Bombyx mori: one gene and its partner. The protein of the gene in region 1 interacts with the protein of each later gene in a pairwise test. Links are inferred from orthologs where the notes say so. Each region holds a gene or a part of one and is shown on either strand. Other genes may lie near its edges. The genes, in order: filamin-A and AMP-activated protein kinase beta subunit.

The links.
Region 2: the proteins of filamin-A (region 1) and AMP-activated protein kinase beta subunit interact in a two-hybrid assay, tested with the Drosophila melanogaster proteins (2 studies listed by BioGRID). The link is inferred for Bombyx mori from reciprocal best matches to the Drosophila melanogaster genes jbug and alc.

What each region holds. Positions count from the first base shown.
Region 1 is NC_085121.1:10,247,226-10,257,383, forward strand, and holds part of filamin-A, read right to left. Parts: intron 10,064-10,158; coding exon 9,915-10,063; intron 8,641-9,914; coding exon 8,568-8,640; intron 8,491-8,567; coding exon 8,323-8,490; intron 7,622-8,322; coding exon 7,452-7,621; intron 6,691-7,451; coding exon 6,598-6,690; intron 6,209-6,597; coding exon 6,064-6,208; intron 5,438-6,063; coding exon 5,352-5,437; intron 4,485-5,351; coding exon 4,292-4,484; intron 3,137-4,291; coding exon 2,915-3,136; intron 2,508-2,914; coding exon 2,344-2,507; intron 2,078-2,343; coding exon 1,927-2,077; intron 1,836-1,926; coding exon 1,587-1,835; intron 1,368-1,586; coding exon 1,147-1,367; intron 474-1,146; coding exon 266-473; intron 1-265.
Region 2 is NC_085118.1:8,960,128-8,970,875, forward strand, and holds AMP-activated protein kinase beta subunit, read right to left. Parts: upstream 6,538-10,748; coding exon 6,214-6,537; intron 5,239-6,213; coding exon 5,092-5,238; intron 4,571-5,091; coding exon 4,439-4,570; intron 4,024-4,438; coding exon 3,925-4,023; intron 3,683-3,924; coding exon 3,536-3,682; downstream 1-3,535.

The DNA of each region.
Region 1 (10,158 bases):
CGTGAAAGTTTCATGGCGAAATTAGGACAGTAAAGATTACTTACATTTGAGATAAGTATTGTTTTTATTTATTTTAATAGCTTAGGAAATCTAGTGGAACAAATAAGTACAATAGCTGTTGTTTTAATGCAATTAAAAATTAGACTTCTTTATGTCTTGAAGCTATCAGCTCCGATAATTTGTTTAAAGACCAAATGCATTGTTAATTACTCTGGGAATAAACAGAGTTTTCGTACCTTAGAACGATTTTATGTGAAAGACATACCTATAGTACTCTGTCCAACTTCATTAATAGTGAATTCTGCTTGCAACAAGCCAGACTTGGTTTGATAACATCTTACGGGCAGTGCTCGAGAGCCAGGTCCGGAGACGACCACGTCGAATTCCCGAGCAGGTCGACCCAGGGTGTCGATACTGAATGATGCCACTTTATTAACCTGAGCTTGGTATAAACCTAGACCAGAAGCTGCCACCTGTAATGACAATTTTAAAAATCAATGTGTGATTAAACTTTTTATATTTTTAAATGATGATTATTCTCCTTTTGCAGCAGACGAGCATACGGCCCACCTGATGGTAAGTGGTCACCGTCGCTCATGGACGTCAGCATTGCCAGGGGCAGAGCCAAGCCGCTGCCTACCATACTTTTACTTTAATTTTACTCCGTTATGTACCAATTTGCCACTTTCTGAGATAAAACGGTCATATGCTCCGGATTGAAAGCTGAGGTAGGTGAGGTATTACAATTCAATTCGAGACTTGGACTTTCTGTTTCAAAATTCGCTGTGAATTACTTGTGGCGGTATTTTAGTTGTGAAATGGTAACTACATAGCAAATGTGGACCGTGAGGTAAACCCATCTGGAGCCTTAGTTTTTTTTATTGGTTAGATGGGTGGACGAGCTCACAGCCCACCTGGTGTTAAGTGGTTACTGGAGCCCATAGACATTTACAACGTAAATGCGCCACCCACCTTGAGATATAAGTTCTAAGGTCTCAGTATAGTTACAACGGCTGCCCCACCCTTCAAACCGAAACGCATTACTGCTTCACGGCAGAAATAGGCGGGGTGGCGGTACCTACCCGTGCGGACTCATATGAGGTCCTACCACCAGTAAGAAGTTTAGTGAATTGTTATTGTGGTAACCTCTTGTCCATGGTGTGGTGGATGCACATCGACGAGTAACGGTTCTCTGTCGATTGGCGCGCCGCTCCACAGCAGCGTCAGGCGGTGAGGGGCTGCACGCGCTGGGTGCCACACGACCTCGTGCCGTGATCCCCCGCGCCGACGCACCGAGTGGGGGACCGTCGCACCGCCGCACGACACACGACCAGACAGTCGACCGGCACCCGCGCCATGCGTGCTCACTGAAATTTACTCACACTTATGTTGCACTTGTGACATGAGATTGGATATACGTGAATTCAACTGCCTGAGCTTAGGTTGAACAGGCCCATAATGGCGTAACTAATTAATTATGTAATATAAACCTTTAAGCTTTGAACATTGTCAACTATTTTCTGAAAGCCGCTCTTATTATATCTATTTCGATTTATTAACATTACCCATATATTAAATATGATTACCGGTCAATATAGCTGGTCGGTGAACCACTGCATTTCCAATAGACAACACCTTTACAGCAGTGGCATCAACAGCCTCGACTTCCGCCACCGGTCCCTTTGCACTTCTGACAACATATCTACCAACACGACTCGCAGGAAACGTTAGGAGACCAGTGTCCTCGAGCTGTGCATCAGAAACACGCACTCCAGTAGGAGATATTACGTCTACGTCTGAAAGACTCTCGTCGATCTCCACTGTTGCAACTCCACCTAGAAATTCAGTATTATTGATGAGTTTTTCAACACACATTTCATCATAATCATATTGATAATCAGTAAAATCAAAAATTTCGAAACTTACCAATTTGTACATAAGTGTGTGGTTCGTTGACGCGGCAAATGAATGGACTACCAGGAACTGCTTGTTCATTGAACGTGACTGACACTCGATGAGGCTCTCGAGAAACTGGCACAAAAGTCACATCGTACAGACCACGGGCCACAGCCACTACCTGTAAATGTTGTACATTTTATTAATTTCGATCTTTTTGTGTTTGGAAAAGTAGATGTTCTCGGCTAAATAATAGCAGAAAATTCTCATATTAATGGCGTGGTTCATATTATATCCAAAATCTAAAAGATTGTCGGGGATACAATAAAAAATTTATAGGGCTCTTATAGGAACATGAATAATACCATTAGCTTAGCGGTAACGAGATATTAAATTTTTTAATATTTTCTACTTTAAATAGCAGTAAAGAATAGTTTTCATACACACCTCAGCCTTCACTGTTGTAGTGGGTGTAGATACCACCAGTTCCAGTGTTCCTTCACCCGCGCCTGCTGCATCCACACTGAATGTCACTGGCTTACCAACTTCTACACCTCTCTCTTCTTCCACACCTTCATCCAAACTCAGCCCTTCTAATGTACCCTCCAGTTCTGAAATCAAATCATTAAATTTATCAGTACCTGTCTGAACTATTTTAGTTCATCATGCTTTTTTTTAGTGTGAATCGATTGAGAGAATTTAATAAAAAATTGCTATTGTATAACACCCAAAAAAGTTTCTTGTTTCGGATCTATGCGTTCGCACGTCTTTAATCAAGGTCAATTGTTGCGTATGCAACAGATTTACAGAAATTCTTATTCATCACCTAGTAACATCGATGTTCGATAGGTCTGGGGAGTGAATGTGAAATGGCAGAGAAGCGGAAAAGGCATTCATTTTCCGTAAACCACTTAGATTTATGTGATTAGAATAAAGAATATATAGGAATTTCACGTAGAGATACAAAATATCTTAGCTCTTTTTATGGCCATTGTTCGTGTTATAAACTGGAACTCACCTCCAGGTCCAAGGCCGGTGACTCTGACGCGGCGTACATCGTACACGTTGCATGTGAAAGGAGAGCCCGGCACGTGTCGTCCCGCGCACGTCACTTGCACACTGTGTCGTCCAACAGCCTCCGGAGTGTAAGTTGCTGTATAGCGACCATCACCTAATGGCGTTACACGGGTTCGTACGTTGGTCCCACCCGGGCCGGTCACGTAAATTGTGGGCTCAGCTGCTGTTTAAAAAAAAAGGTTCCATAAAAGAAACAGCCTTAAGTTATCTGATGTTAAATGGTTACCGGAGACCATAGATGTCACAAAGCATATACCGACTTGAGGTCTATGTCACCACAATTGATTTATTTGTTAATTACAAATTTTTTCCCGGTTTCATTTTATTTTATTATACAGTTTGATTTAATTACACGACTTGATTTTATTAAAAGTGTTACAAGTCTTAACTTCACCAAAGAACCGCTAGACGAACGAGATGATGAAAATTATGAATAAATGGTATTTTACATTTTTTGAAAGTAATTTTGAAGTCATTATTTAAGACAAGCCACTGAGCTATTTTGTGAAGTTTATAATACAAAGACATTTTATAAAAAGTCGACGTGTGAATATCACTAATGTTAACGCTTAATTAAAGACACATCTGTTGTGTTTTGTTTGTCAACAATGAACTGTTTGTGTTTTTCAATAAGCAATCAATTTGTTCATGATGTCATCAATGTAAACATTAACTTTGTATTCTTTGTAATTACCGATTCGTTGGTTTTCTTCTTCTAAGTAATCGCTCTCTGTCTCTCTTGCAGACCGGATAAATCATCACAATTTAACAAAAAAAATATTGTATGGATATAATACATTTCGAGACCAGGTTGTACTTAACTTACTTAGGACAATGACTAATTAATTAGTGGTGGGCGTATTTCGAATAGGATATCGGATTGTTTAAAAAAAGCCTGCATTACTACCTTTCAAATAATTGCATAATGAATTAAATTGGTAAAAAATATAAGTATATCAATCATCATTTAGAAAACCGTGATTGTTACATACCGCCATATTAAGTTATACTTCTTTTGTCGTCATTGAATTATTAAGATAATACAACTTTCACAAAATTTATAGGTATGTATATAATTTCATTTTAATATTATATAACAATAGCCTTGAATCTTGATAAACAATCTTCACAATTAATTACGTGTTACAACTGCGCGATCGCTTTTCAATTTGCTAAAATTACACTGTGATTGGTTTTATCAAACTATCTGGTCGCTTTACCAAAAACCAGTCAATGAATTTTAATTGGGAACCTCCACCTTCATTATCATCTGAAGTCGATGAAAAAAAATTGTGCTAAACTGTCACATTGTACTCACTCTGGAAGCCGGTGAGATGTATGTCGGCAGGGTCACCGCGCGGTGCCGACACTAAGCCGGCACCGGATGCGCGCGCGTCCGGCGCCGCGGTCGGTGCGGACACGGCACACGTGAACGGCGAGCCCGGAACCGCGTGACCGTTGAACCGGACCGACAGCGTGTGCGGCGCCGCTTCTACCGGCTTGAAGTTCACCTACCAAACAAACACATCATCTATACTAATATATAAAACTACAATGGTTTTTACGGATGTTCCGCTATAACTACTGAACCATGAATGCGATTGACTTGAAACTTGGTATCCATGTAGAAAATACATGTATTTAATGGATAGGCTAATATTTATATGAGTGTTGGACTCCCTAATAATAATGACAATAAATAATAATGTTAATTTTAAATGCGCAGTGAAGCGGGCGAGTACGGCTAGTACTATAATAATATATATAGACAACCAATTCTGAGCTACCGAAAGCACATATATGCTCTGCTTGTTCTCTCGTATTACGTTATGTGTACAACGGACGAAAAGATGCTCTTTGCTTGCTGTATTAGGTCTCGATTTACCACCGATTCTATGAAGCTAATCTCTTGGTATTTATCCACGAAAACTATCCTGGATAACCCACAGTGTGCTGAATAACTTAAGATTAATTAATATGCGACGAGAGTCAACATTTCACGCTAATACAGAGAGAATATACTTTATTGCACACTAAAACACAATTAACATAAAAAACAATCAACAAACAGATTCATTTGTACAATAGGCGGTCTTATCGCTAAAAGTGATCTCTTCCAGGCAACTGTTTAATTTACAGAAATACCGGAAAAAGATAAAGATACAGCAGGTATGTTGCGGTGTACTATTAACAGTATATTATTAAAGAAAATACATAATTATGTACATACGATAAATTGTGGTGGAAAATCGGTAAATCCGAAAGACTTTGTCTTACTGAAGGTTAATGTAAAATTTAATTATAATAACCTTAGCAAAATTAATATTTATTCTTATTGGAAAGCAGTATTTTTACTTTACAAATTATGACAACTTTACCTTGAATCTCGCATTTCCTTCACTCTGCACATAATTAGGCACGTTTCGACCGTTAACGGCTACGATAATTTCTAAGTTGCCGGCACCTGTGACAGAACGAATCATAAAAAAAAGTGATCAATGCTGTTATTTTTAAAACATTGTTACAATAAGAATGTAGCGTCGTCTCTTATCTATCTATACGTGAAGCAAAAAATGTGTACCCTTTTTTATGAAAATAGCGCGGACGGAAGAGTATAAAATTTCCCAAACTTACAGAGGATATAGAGAAAGGCCGAATACTATTTTTTTTTAACTATGCATAAAAATATGTTAAATTAATAAATAAAAACATTACCCATACTACCATATATTTGTCATACACACGCGTATATTATACTCGTTTGTTTATTTTCGACCATAGACTTTATGGTCAAATTGAGAATAGATTAATATTATGTGTCTATAGCGTAGGCTTGGGAAAATCTGTGATTATAGAAGTAAAGTCTCTGACAATAGAACCATAATAATGTTAAAACTTATAATTTCAATTAGTTATAGTCGACTTTCGACTACCGGGTGACCAATAGTTGGAATTAAAAAGTTTTGTCGATTGTATTATAAGTAAAAAATTTTTTTAATTGCCTTTGTAGGCAGACGAGCATACGGCCCACCTGATGGAAAGTGGTCAGCAATGCTAGGTGCACAGCCAAGCCTAATTAAATCAGCGTACCAGCATGTGATGCGTTGATGGTGAAGGACACAGGTCTTCCGACGACACCCGGCGAGATGTCAGTGACGCTGACCCGCGCGGCGCTGTACGCCTTCACCAAGAACGGACTACCCTCCACGTGACCGCCCGAAGCGCCGGCGCGAACCTAGTCATAAAAACAGGGTCTATTTATTAATCGGGTAGAAAGCTAACACAACCAGTCTTAACTGGTTATCGGAAAACAAAGTGTTTGTTATTAATATTAATATTGAGGAAAAATGGTTGTATTTCAAGCTCGTTGGAGACGATGATGGTACGGAGCACATCACATCTTACAACCGTAATAGTAACGCCGCTGCTCATCACGCGACGTAAGTAAGGTTTGATGATGGAAACAAGGAAACAATATACGCAACTTCTGATTCTATTAAGGGCCAGACAGATTGTCATGTTAGCGCGTAGAACAAAAACCCTAACTCACAATTGATGAGCACTACGTAGCATTCCCACTAACGAATAGATACTTTGTAAAAAATCAAACTGAATTGAAAATACCTCAATACTGTGATCTCCTACATCAACAGGCACAAATGAGATGGTGTACCGTTTGCTCGCCTCGTTTTCACCTACGGTTTCTTCAGCAGATACCTGGAAGAAATATTTGATTATTAACGAGATCCAGCAACGATTTCCTATCGAAAAAGAAATGAAATGCTCCCATTGTCAAGACTACTCCCGCATCTATTAAAGGTGTACTACCAGAAACTTTTCTTGAAGTCTCAAACAGGGCAGTGGTAGCAGCCATTACAGCAGAAGCGAACAAGACCTACCTACGTGAGTTTGCAACACAATTACAAACTCTTCTGTCAGTTAGAATATATTCCTAATATTCTTGTTCTCTTATCGCAGAGACATAAGACATAACCAGACATGATCTAGACATGATCGGCACAAAATGTTGCATACTGTCACGGTTGCCTCTGCACTTGTCTGGAAAGCTCTCTGAGCGTAATGAAAAGCTCGACTTTCGTGCAGCTTCGTAAACTTATGTTTTCTTCTATCGTTGGAGAGAGACAGAGAGGTGAATAGGACATAGAAGGGCATTGTGCAGAAAGATATGAATCTTGATTTTTTTTAATACCGTATAGGCAGACGAGCATACGGCCCACATGATGGTGAGTGGTTACCGTCGCTCATGGACGTCAGCAATGAAAGGGGCAGAGCCAAGCCTACCGTTTAATACTCTCTGCAAGCCTCGTTTGAAGAAGGACATGTCCTAGCGCTCGGGAGACACTGTGGAGGGGAGCTTATTCCAAAAAAGATCTCTGGAAACGCATTGTGGATGAACGTAGTGGCTCCAGGTAGTATGGATAAACTCTACTCCGGTGGCGTGATTACTCGGAACTCACTTGCACAGTGACGGGTCTCCTGGCGGGGCCAAGCACCTCGACGTGCGGTGACGTAGGCGAGTCGACGCTGAACGTATACGCGTCACCAACCGACACCTTCTCCGGAGGCTCGCCCGATCCTGCACCGATCACGCGCGCTGGCGCCGACACGTGACACACGAATGGACTGCCTGGTATAGATAGCATACACGTTGCAGGTCAAAATCATAGCATCAGAACGCTGATATCTGTATTTACTAAAAGTTCACTTTTTTTTTTTTTTTTTTTATTGCTTAGATGGGTGGACGAGCTCACGGTCCACCTGATATTAAGTGGTTACTGGAGCCCATAGACATCTACGGCGTAAATGCGCGACTCACTTTGAGACATAAGTTCTAAAAGGTCTCAAGTATGGTTACAAGTTATTACAATCAATATGCTAAGAAGTTGGTTGCTTTTCTCAATAACTTTTTTTATAGAAACAATTTCAGCAAGCCCTTGCCTGTTGCTCGTCTGACCCATTGTATACTCTTATAAGTCAGAATAACCACAATTATCATCAGACATCGTAGGGGCGAATAGGGTGATCGAGCTAAGAGAAATATTGAGTACACCAATCACGTTTGTTGTCTTAGAACAATTTAGAAATCTTCTCTTGACGTTGGAAAACGAAAACGAATGACAGTTCTTAGGACGGAGGCACCGCTCTTCAAGATGGCTGGTTGGTAAGTGCGATGGCGTCTACGCGCCTCCATCGACTAGGCTCTCTCGTAGGACGAAGTTAGCCGAGTTCCGATGATACCGCAATCGTGCTGCCGTCTCTCGGGAATCGTGCTGCGTTTGCTGCGTACCAAACTAATGACTGTCTCTGAAATATATAAAAATATCTTACCAGGCACATGATCGCCGTTGAAACGCAGTTCAACGGTGTGAGGCCTCGGATCCCGCGGCGTGAAGCTGATGGCGTATGTGTGAGCTCCTTGCGCTGCCGCCGCAGTCGGTACCCGGCCGCCATTCACCGTCACCTCTAAATTCCCAGGACCAGCGGCCATTGTCTCCACTGATGAATAAGCAGCGTTGTATTATACTCATCGAAAATTAGCAAAAATGATTAAACAACTAGATTTTAGTACGAACCTAAAAAAGTGACAGGTTTACCGACAGTACCGTGCGCCACATCTTTGACTCTTATAGCTGATACATCGTATACCTGGAATATGAAATATTATTATTATACATATTGTTATTGTTGCTTATTCTATTTGTTCCTTAGGCATGATGATAATTTTAAATGAAATAGAACCTCTCCATGTTATAACTTAGCTTTTAAGACACACAATTTAAACTTTGAAACAAATAATCGATCGATTATACTCAAATGTATTTTTGTGGTTGCAATATGTTATATTTATTTATTTTATTTATTTAAGGATACAGAGTACAAGGGCACTACTTATTTCATGCTGAAATCTCTTTCAGTAGACCCGCAAAAGGAAATAAGAATTAGGAACACAAACCTAGTGCATACAGTAAACATTACATATAGTAATATATACATATTACAAGATACAAAACAATATATATGCATACAAATACACACACACACACACACACACATATATATATATATATAACATACACACATATACTTACTTTATATTATAATACATTATATAAATATATAAAATTTATTTAAGATGGTAAGGATAAATAATGTTCCTTAACAGATTTCTTGAACGCTGCTATGGTTTTGTACGCTCGTATGCTTGGAGGGAGGGAATTCCAAAGTATAACTGCTTGTACAGAAAACGATTTTGCGTAAGCATGTGTTTTATGAACAGGGCAATTGAGGAGAGTTTTAATGTGTGTTGTATGGTAAATGGGTAAAATGAGACTTTGGGCAAGAGAAATTTTAGTTTCCAAAGGCAAAAAATATTGGAGAAATTTGAGTGAATGGAATGCAAAGTTAACTTTGCTGCTAACATTGTTAACCTGCTCATTCCAGCTTAAGAAAGAGTTAAAGTTTTTAACAGTTTCACTAAAGACAATTGGTTGGCCATTCAATATGAGAGATCCAATTGCAGAATGATTTAATGCACGAATAGCATATCTACTACCAATTATGATGGCCTGTGTTTTGTTTTTAATTACTAGACGTTGTTTAATTACTAGAGGCGTCCGCGCATCAGTCCATTTTCGGGAGTCTTAGGAGCAGAAAATACTTCGGGAAATCATATAACTTTTTTTCCCACATTTACGGCGTATTACTTAGTGTTTTTTTCTTTTATTGCTTAAATGGGTGGACGAGCTCACAGCCCACCTGATGTTAAGTGGTGACTGGAGCCCATAGACATCTACAAGGTAAATGCGCCTCCCACCTTGAGATATAAGTTCTAATATCTCAGTATAGTTACAACGGCTGCCCTTAGTCTTATTGAAACACATGTAAAGTATTCTGAATATCGGTAATGTATATATACATACCTTTAGATGGAAGGGGCTGGCTGGAATGGGCACAGAGTCGATAAGAACGTTGAGTCTGTGTTCCCCGACGGCGCGCGGCACGAACTCTGCTCGAAAGGCGGCAGGACCCGCCGAAGACACCGCCGCCGGCACCGACGCCCCATTAGGACCTGCCCCACGTCCATAGCTCAGCTCACCGCCACGCCCTAACACCCCAACCTAAACTATTTCCCTTTAACTAAAAATTTCCTAACACCCCTTAAAT
Region 2 (10,748 bases), on another chromosome or scaffold:
TACATCTTGTGCAAAAATTCTAAATCAAATCATTTCGTCAAATTTTCAGCTCATGATTTTCAAAGGAACTAAGTACGCCGTAGGCCCTTTTTTCCTCTCTGCTAAGAAACCGCCGGGAAAATATCACAATCCTTTTTTATTTATTTGAGGGCTTATAAAGATTCCGGCTTTAATTTTCGCCTCTGAAAATTAAAGACCCAAATTAATATATTTTTATAACGACAATGGCGTCCCATTTAATGTTACATTTTTCTACTTAGTGTTTAGTACGTCCATGCCAATGTTTTTGGCAGTATAAGCTGCATCATCTCACCGGCAACCACCTTGCATGCCAGTTAAAACACCATCTTGAAGTCTACATAATTTCGCATAGGTACTCCGATAATCAATATTGTTATATATATAATTGCAGCTAGTAGCATTTTAATTTTGTAATTTTCTTTAATAGACAGAATAGATGGGTTATTCGCATTGTCTAGAACAGCTTTTAAACTTTTTGTTAAGATGTCTTCCTATTAACCCCCGCCTTTTTATTCCCGATGTTAATAGAATACGAAAATAGAAAATGATCCAATCGCACTTTTTATAATTAATTTTGCTTACAGGCGCTTATAAAATCACAATATTTTTTCAATTTCAATCAAATTTATCTGAGTGCTATGAAAGTGATCGTACCTACTCAAAATTATTGCGTAAAGGGTTTGAAAGATACATAGTTTTTTTTTGTAATTTCCTTAAACTATAGCGTCATGTAGCAATTTATAGATTACGCCTTCCAAATTTCATTGATAGATCTGTTCTTCGAGTAAAATGGTCGAAACATATTAAGTCGTGGTAAAAACATTATGCGGAATACCTAACTAATTAACCGATGAATTAATTATAAGTGACCTGGCTTTGAAATTAATATACCCAAAAAATGATATTTTAAATAAAATAACTTATTTTATTTCGTTTTTTTTATTTGTGTATCACAGAGCACTGAACCTCATTAAACTATAGTAACTGTAACAAATACAGCAAACGCAGTAGCAGCTACCCAACATACTAAGATTGTCGGCTATAAAAAAGTACTTTACGGTTTCGAAAAAAAATTCAAATTCAAACCGTGACAAGAATTCTTCGTGCCCTTCATACAATTAACTACAGTAGAATTATTTTGTCCGTGCAGTTTGGGTCATAAAATATAGCCCGGCTAGGGCGGTGAGCATGTTGCTCGGGCGCAACGCCATTATCGATAAAAATAAATGAGTCATCGAAGGCAGGTACACGGCGGCGGGGTGGTATACGAAGGGTGGTGAGACATTGTTATGTTAAGAGTCATTTGTACTTACCTGCAAATTATAGTACATTATGTCGAAGAGAAATGTGTTTTTATGCATTCGTTCTCTGAATTTCTTTAGTGAAACAATGGCAACTCCTTTGTTTTATATCAAAACGGCAGATTTATTCAAAATAATATTTGCACGTGTTGTTATCAACAATGTGTTAAAATTTTTCACTGAAATAAGAATAGATCCCGAAAAGCTAGAAAGTGTTAATTTCTGCCATTCTCGTTAACTACCTGCGGCGATATGTGGTGTAAGTGTTCGATTAGTGATTTTTTCTTTCATTTTTATCACAAACCCACAAAATGACAAAACTAAATACACTATCGATAACGCTTATCGAAAACAAGAATGCGCATCACTATGCCCGTCCATAAGGCTCGTAAGTGGAAGAGAGAGCGAAATACTCGCTTCACCGCTCCGATTTTTTTATTACCCAAACTGCACGGACAAAATAATTCTATTATAGCAACATTCTCAATCACAATACAGAGGGAAAACAATACACCCATGTCGAAATTTCGTTGAATGAACGTACCTATATCTTAGAAATAAATTAATTGTGATTCTTCTTTTCAGCTCTCCTGATTTCACCTCATTTTCTTGTTTTCTTATTTTTAGATTTGAATGTAAAAATAAAAAGCCGACGCTTAAGTTGAAAGGGGCGATTTTTTGTGGTATTGATCACTTGATTTGACGTCAATCTCTCTCGCAGATTGATTTCCTACGAGTCGTGGCTCGTAAATAAGCAATTTTTTTTTAATTGATCTTATGCCTTATATAAAATCATTTAATGTGATTTATCTTTAATACGAGAATATCAGCGAATTTCATTAACTTTATAATACAGCAGCAAATTACTCGGCATACTGACATATTGTGCAAAAAACAAAAACCTTCGGACATGAAACTGCCACGTGTTGTTCTATAAAAAGATAGAAGTTATAAAAAAAATGACGTGGGTACACGAGTCTATTTAAAAGAGATACCGGAGCCATTGAAGATACCAGTAAAAGGTGACTCAAATTTGTAAGGAGTTTGAAAAGCTTCTCTTCGTTTACCGCTAGGGGCGCTGTTCCAACTTCATACAAATTTCGAGTTAACCGAAATCGGGAAGTTAAAAAACTCGTAGGTACTAACCACACAGAACGTGAATGCGCCTTGAGACAAAATTAAAATCTGAGTTTCATAAATACGATAGTTGTCCTGTACTTTAAACGGGCACATGTGGTTGCTTGGCAGAAATAGGATGGTAGTATCCAACCGCGGGGGTTTCTCACATACCACATGCCCATCCGCTGTTTATTAAGACAAATACGCTCAAAATAGCGCAATACCGTCCCCAATAGGCATGAAAAATGAGGAAGTTTTATTTTATTACCACATTTTATTGCCTTCTCCAGACTTTTACGAAATTAATAACTAATAAACCACCGACATTAGACTTAGATGACGTAGTAATTAATTTTTTACTCTATTTGGGTATGCGAATTGAAATATTTTAGATGCCGGCTGCTCGTTAATCACAGTGACGTCGTGATTCGTTATATGAATTCTTTTGTTGTTTGATAATTACTCCTACCACTTAGTTTAAAAGGTTTTTTTCAACTTAGTTGTTCCTAAGCAGATTTATAAAATTCTTTCTTAATTGATATTTTCAATATTTTTTATTGAAAACAGCATCCCTATATTCCGGATATTACTAATACTAAGAGGTACATACATAATTATTAATACTTGACTGCATTTATCACTTTGCTCGGAACTAAGTTTTTTTTGATATTTTTTTTAAGACACTAATACCACATCATTTATCGCTTTGTCGTAAAATATGTAATACATATTAGGCAATCCATTTAACAAGAGTAGTTTAAATAATGAATATTTGTTTCAAGGATTTACACAAACAATCACTATTAAAAATGTCTGCAGTTAAAAAGCCATACACTAACAAGCTTCAAACCAATTTAAAATACCATCTTTGTTGCATAACTTTCAACAAGTTTCCTTAAGTCACAATTTTTTTTTTTTACCTAAACTACACAAATACTGACTATCTTTATATTAAATAGCATTTTTATAATTATAATAATATATTAATTGCATGTTTGCATTTCATGAAAACAAAACGATAACAACATAATTTTACAACAGGAAAGCATTAGTCCTACTTGATAAAAAACAACAAATTTGCCACTACAAAAGTATTAAATTGGCTTGTATAGAAGAGTGGTAACATATTTCTTGCGATAGCGATGTGTTGCAGACAGTACCATAACTCCATCTTTTATTGACAAAGCATACAAGTGATTTAACATCACATGATTAGGCTCCGGAAGTAGAGTCGGCTCACACTGAAAAACACAGAAAGACACTGCGTCTGAATAGGTCGATTGAATGACTCTTGACTGAACAAACTATTATTAAAAACTACTATAATTGTCAGGCACCACATCATGAATATCTTCAGAAAATCAATTATGTAGTCCATTTCTTTAAATTCACTCCATATTTTAATGAAAATTAAAAATAAAGATATTTAAAAGTGCACACTTCAACCTTTAATGTCATGTTTATAATTGAAAAATTGACTTACAGAAAGTGGAGTATCCTTGTTAAGTATAACCTGTAAGAGGTGTGGTGGCAATATTGGTGGACCAGACACTTTCTCCCATGGTTTGGACTGTGGGATTTCCTGTGAATCAGAAACAAACATAATTCCTGACATGTTAAATAACAATTATAATTTATTATAGCAATTTTATTATAAAAATTATAAAAAACCATTTTTATTATTATATAATTTTTATTATTTAACAATTTTAAAAAACAAATTTATTATAACAATTATAATTTAACAAAATAAAATTATCAGAATAAGATTAAATACATGTTTCGAGGTCTATCATTCAATTGAAAAAATTGATTAAACAGGAAAATTAAAATAGATATTATTATACAATAAGTTTTCAACAAGTAACTAACAATAAAGAGCACACTTAATCTGCATGAAAGGAAACATGAGTCATTCATTGAGGTTGTTTGCTTATTAGACACTTTAATGTTAAGGTTTATACTTTTTATATTTATGAGAATAAAAAACCTATTACCTGTGAATATTCAGTCTGAGCACTGCTGTGGATACCCTCACTGTCTTTGGCTAATGCTTGAAATACCTCAAAATCTGACATTTTTACTGTTACTAAATTATTCTTGGACCCCATTCCATTGTCAATTACTTTCTGAAATCCATGAATATCTAATAAAAATTTCAGTTATCTGATGTTTGGCCTAGAATAGCATCAACCAAGCCAAGTTGGATTAAGGGAATCACCAGAAAATGGTTATCAGTGTTATCTGATTAATATTCCAGCATACTGTGATGACTAACTGGTATTTAATTATTTGACTTACTGAATTCTGCACCTGGTCCCCATTATCGACCTTTTGAAAAATTTCTATGATTTAAAATTTTATCAATTAAATATTCGAGAAACTTTTGGTCCCTCAGATTAGAAAAATCATATTTTTTCAAGGAATACAATATAATGTATCCTTGATCATATGCTTTTTAGGGTTTTTCCTCTGCAGGTGAGTAGCATACTATTTATGTCTACATTCATGTATAAATAATTAAATAAATAAACCTTTTGATATAAATTGGGAAAGCAGAGGCTACTGCTTGCACAATTCATAGAACACAAAGTACTTAGTATAAGAATTAGTAAACTAATATCGCTGTGTTAAATATTATTGATATTACCACTGTAGGATCATGCCTCCATTCTCCATCAACAAAATATTTGTACTGATGTTCACCTTCTGGTAAATCTATTATTGTAACAAAATCACCATGTGATTTTACCATGGGAATAGTTTTCCAATCTGTAAATGTTCCAGAAATAAATACCTGCAACATAAAAACACTATACAATCATAGTAGTGAAGTATAAACCCTTCATAAAACCCAATGGTGGCCCAAGGGCCCATCACATCAAGTCTTTCGATAAACTTACATAAAGTAACACTCATAAACTACTACTTGCTCAGTTGAGGACTCTACAACTATTTCAAAATCAACTTAGCTTTACGTTTCTACTTACTTGAAAACCAAAATATTCAAAAAGTTATCTCAAAGTTTATAGAGACACTTCTTGGAATATTAGCAACATGACACTTAGCTATTCTTTGCAGTGAGCATGCAAAACTGTTTATGGAGTTGATCTGAATTAAATTTCATTCCCTCTATTCAGAAATATAATTCGGGAAGTTTTCCATTAAAGGAAAACATATCTCTCCCTGGTGATTTAGTTCACCAAGATGAAAACATGGGGAAAACATAGATCTTTGTAAAATGCCAGTGTCAACAGTCATCATGTCAGAGTAGCAATTGGCAATATTGACTTTGATGCATCTCCTACACTATACTTTTTTAAGTGTTGTCCTTTGTTTCAGCTCCAAAATATTCAAGTAACCTATTCTCTCATTTTACAAATTTCAGTATTAGATCTGCTAAAATTATAATATGCATAATTACTGGTAGTTAAACATATTGTAAGCCAAGACAGTAGTAATGTCATCCTCCCAATTCTACAAAGCATTCATTCATTCCAGTTGGAAGAGTGGGAGCTTTACAGTACAATTGAGACTTCAACTTCACCAGAAACATTAGCCGAGCCATGAGCTTGTGTACCTATCTATTAAACAAAAACAGCTATTGTGACCTTGTTCATGAGAGGATAGATGATCAAATAAAGCTTTCTTATAATGATACAACGAAGAAGCTGCGCTTTACAGGTTATTAGTCATTAACCTTATACATACATACATATTGTTTACTTTCTTTAATTAATTGTCACCACACCAGTACATATATTTTACTTACTTGTTTTCCACCTCCTTCCCATTTGAAAACTGTTGGTAATACTTTAATATCGTCGACTATTTTACTACCATCGGTGAGAGTATTTGATCTCTCACGTTGTTCAGTGTATTCAATATCACTTTCAGGTACTGCTTTAGTATAATAAGGAGCGCCATCTTCTATATTATTGTCATCATCTCGACTACTTCGATCATCGTCTAGCTTTTTATCAAACGTGAAGGCTTCCCCTTCTTTGGCTGGAGATGAAGGTCCTTGATCATGATCAGGCGATTTGTTAGCATCTTTATGCCATTCTTTGGGTTGGTTACTTCCGGCATTCCCCATTTAATTTTCAACTAAGAAAATTTTAAAAAATTGTATTTGTAATTTAATACCTAACATTCTTTAAAAAAATTACTTACATGGTTATATGTATGTAGGTTTGTTTAATTAATTATTATGTTAAACTTTGTTCAACAAATGAACAAAGCTAACAGAAGTGTGTCAAGTGTCAACACTGTCAGTATAGTTGAGTATAGTTAGTACTTTTTTTTTTCCAACTGGAAAGGTAAAAGTGTCATACCATACAGTGTAATGTTTTATTTAATTTTATTTTACTTTATTTATATATAAATAAAGTAAAATAAAAGTTTCTATGCATTTTTAAGAAAATTCACAACATTTTTTAATATAGTTTATTTACATTTAACTAAAGTATGTAGATATCATTTTGTTCGATAACTTTTTGCCATATTATAGGTAGGGACATGATCCCATTGCTATAGAAATTTTGGGGCTTCTGATCAAAATACCGCGACAATTGGTTTTGGTAATCCTCTCGTGATGCTAACCTGACACTGCTTAAGAATTCTGAAGAGACCGAAACAGGTGAAAATCTGAAGGTGCAAGCTCAGGACTATACGGCAGATGCCCAGCCAAGCTCTCTTAATTTTTGCTGAGTGGCTAAAATTGTGCGAGGTCTAGCGTTATCATGATAAAAAACCACACCCCTTCTGTTGATTAATTCCGGCCGCTTTCTCTCAACTTCTTGCTTTAATCTCATCAGTTGTTCGCAGTTGAGTTCAGAATCGATGGTCCTGCCTGGTGGTAACAGCTCATAATGTATAATGCCCTTCCAATCCCACCACACACACAGCATCACCTTGTTGCGAGTTAACCCGGGTTTCGCCAGAGTCTGTGAAGCCTGACCGGCCTTTGACCACGACCTTTTTCCCACGTTCTTGTCGTACGTGATCCACTTTTCATCACCAGTTATCAGCTTCTTCATAAATGGTTCGGTTTCATGACGTCGTAATAAAGAATCACAAATGAGTGCATTGTTCATTAGGTTTCTTTCAATGAACTCGTGAGGTACCCAAATATCGAGCTTTTTTGTGTACCCAGTTTTTTCAAATGCGCCAAAACTGTTTTGTGGTCAATTCCCAGTTCTTCAGCTACGTCATAACTACTGATATCTAACCGATCTTGCTCCACTTTTTCAAAAATGGCATCCATTTTATCCGTAATAGGGCGGCCATAGCAACGTGCATCTTTGACATCACCGGATTGAAACCGCTTAAACCAAATTTGTGCTACTCTCAAGACATTGTACTAGGTCCATAAACATCGCAAATTTTTTTCGCGGCTTGCGTTGCATTTTTACCTTTTTTGTAGGAAAATTTTCAAACGTATCGAATTTCTTCATTAGGTTCACTCACCTTGACAGTACGAAAAATAAATAAAAATCACACATTTTCCTAATTTGAATTAGAAATATCTTCTTTAAAATTTAAACTTTTAATGATACCACAACCAGCCAGATACAAATAGTATAGCCAAAGAGATTTTATTACAACTTCATACACATAATGCGAAAAGACTTTTTTCCCCAACTTATATCTTTTATATATGAAAAATGGTAATATGAAGTGAAATGAAGTTGATTAATATGAAACATGGCATGAAATGAAATGAAATGAGACGATATGGGATGAAATATAATCTCAGTATAATGATGGTCATTGACTGAGACCAAAAGATTAATCCTTGACACATTTAACTTGCTCTCAGTCGATATGCTTTTGCTACGGATCGAAAGGTATCTCATATTGTAAAATCTATCATCAGAGAGAAGAAATGTGATTTTAGGTACCCATTTAATTACCTACCTACCTTCACCTACTTACTACCTACCTTACCTACTTTGCTATCGTAACTCTATTAGAACACACGAGATCACCTGGCTGATGAAACTGGCAAAGCCTCCGGATCACCAGTAGTTTAATAGTACTTTTTTCCCTACCTATTGACTGGTAGCCTTGGCAGAAATTAACAGAATGGTGATATTTACTTGTACTTTCATAGCATGCTCTTCTACAAATATTTACTCATTAAGTTTTCTTTACTTTGAACGACTTTTATTTCAGAAGAAGAGCGAAAAAAGCGTATTATAAAAAAAATGCTCGTGGCAAGAAAATAAATGGCGAGACGGATATTTGAAAGTCCGAAGAAAGACTAAACAAGTTATTAGAATAGCCAAGCGAGAGCATATGAGTGACATCATCAAGTGTAAGAAAAGCCTAATAAGAACGAATGAGGCTCGAAAATTCTACCAAGAGGTCAGATCGGTAAAGAAAGCATACCAACCAACCATTCAATTTCTTGATGACGAAGGCGAAAATCTTGAGACTGAGAAACTCACTGAGAAAAGATTTTAATACGCATAAAGCGTACATTCGGTTTTTGTAGATTTTGCTACGGTCTATTACAGTATTGATAGACCGACTCTATATTGTGTAATCCTCACCAGCTTTGAAACCTCACGGAAGCTTGTGAGAATGTTAGAGGTTGCTACTAGAGAGAGCTCAGAAATATGACGGTGTTTGGCACGTTCGGAAAAACAAAGATGTGTAGGAACTTTTTGGTGAGTAAATTAATCTAGGGAAGATAAGGATGCAAAGGCTCAGGTGGCTCAAACATGTAGTGTGGATTGGTCCATGAAGCGGGTGTACGCGGATGTACCGGAGAGGCGCCTTCCCGTGGGGTGGCCCAAGTACCGCTGGTCTGATGCTGCGATCTTCAAGTGTCAGTCCGAGTGACGGTGCTAATTTTCGGACGCCAAGACCCACTTTGAAGGTCATAGCGCCAACGCACTAGTAGTAGTACATCTGCCAACCGTCCTGCGATGGCTCACAAGTTTTTTATATTACAAAATGGCAATGGGCTCTTGCTGTGCAGTTTATTTGCAGTTTTAAAGGGCTAAGTGTACCATTTGTGTATTGTCTACGTCACAGTTAATTTCTCACATAAATGCTTTCAATGATAAAATACTAGTAACTATTATACTGAGACCTTAGAACTTATATCTCAAGGTGGGTGGCGCATTTACGTTGTAGATGGCTATGGGCTCCGGTAACCAAGGTGGCCTGTGAGGTCGTCCAACTAAACAATAAAAATAAAATAAAAAAAAAGTGTGTGTGTCCGTTCCGACGCACGACTGGAGTTTACTGGATATAAATATAAATTTGTGTCAGTTGAATACAGTAAAATATGGAAGTTACGTATTCTAGTGAGAATGATCCGGGAGTTGCGGAACACGTGGATGCGGTAATTAAGTAAGTCTATATAATTCACTTTTACAATTAATATATAAGTTGTCCATTCACTGATAGAAGGAATTGTTTATATTTAATAAGCTTTATTAATAAATGATTTGTAGCGGGTTATATTCGGGTATCAACCCACTAACAGTTGATACGTTCAGGAATCGAACCCGAACGGCGTCCGGCCACAAGCAAAACGATGTCGGTAAATTAAACGAAACAATACGAGAAATAGTTCTATATTACGACAACACGATACACTACAGATTATTAACAAATTAACGAGACACAAAACAAACGACTAACAAATATATGAAAATACAATAATGAGAGAAACGCGCGATCAGTACGAGGCTTTGTGGCGGACTGCCGGCGCAGCAGCCCGGCGTCACCTGCGATAACGCGGCCGCGCGTTGGCTCCTGATTGGCGCGCGCACGCATCACGCAATCAGGAGCCAATCAGGCGCATAACGCATTTCGTGTGACATGCTATACTCTCTAGTACGATTTTGGTCCCCATAATTTTCATACCCCGGGCCTATATATGTAAATCGATTCTTAAGGAGTAAACTCCAAAAATCTTTATACATTCCTTCAAACTTTTACGATCCACCAAAGAAAATCAGACTCAATATTAATTAGTAAAAGTTTTTTTAACATTAAAATTATTTATTTAATTTGTTCCTTTTGTTTATTTACTGTTGTTTCGGATTAAAATGTGTAATAACTGTGGTTTATTATCAGCTTAGCATCGGTGAAAGTGCACCAATTTGAAAAAAAGAAACAAATCCCTTGGACGTACCTTCTCTGGTTCTTTACTGAGACCTTATTTCGTTACATCTCATCTAGTTTCATTTCATTTCATCCCAGTTGATTAAAGTATCAAATTAATTCAGCTCATTTCGTTTCATATCATTTTTCATTTATTAGAATCTAAGAAAAAAGACTAGACTT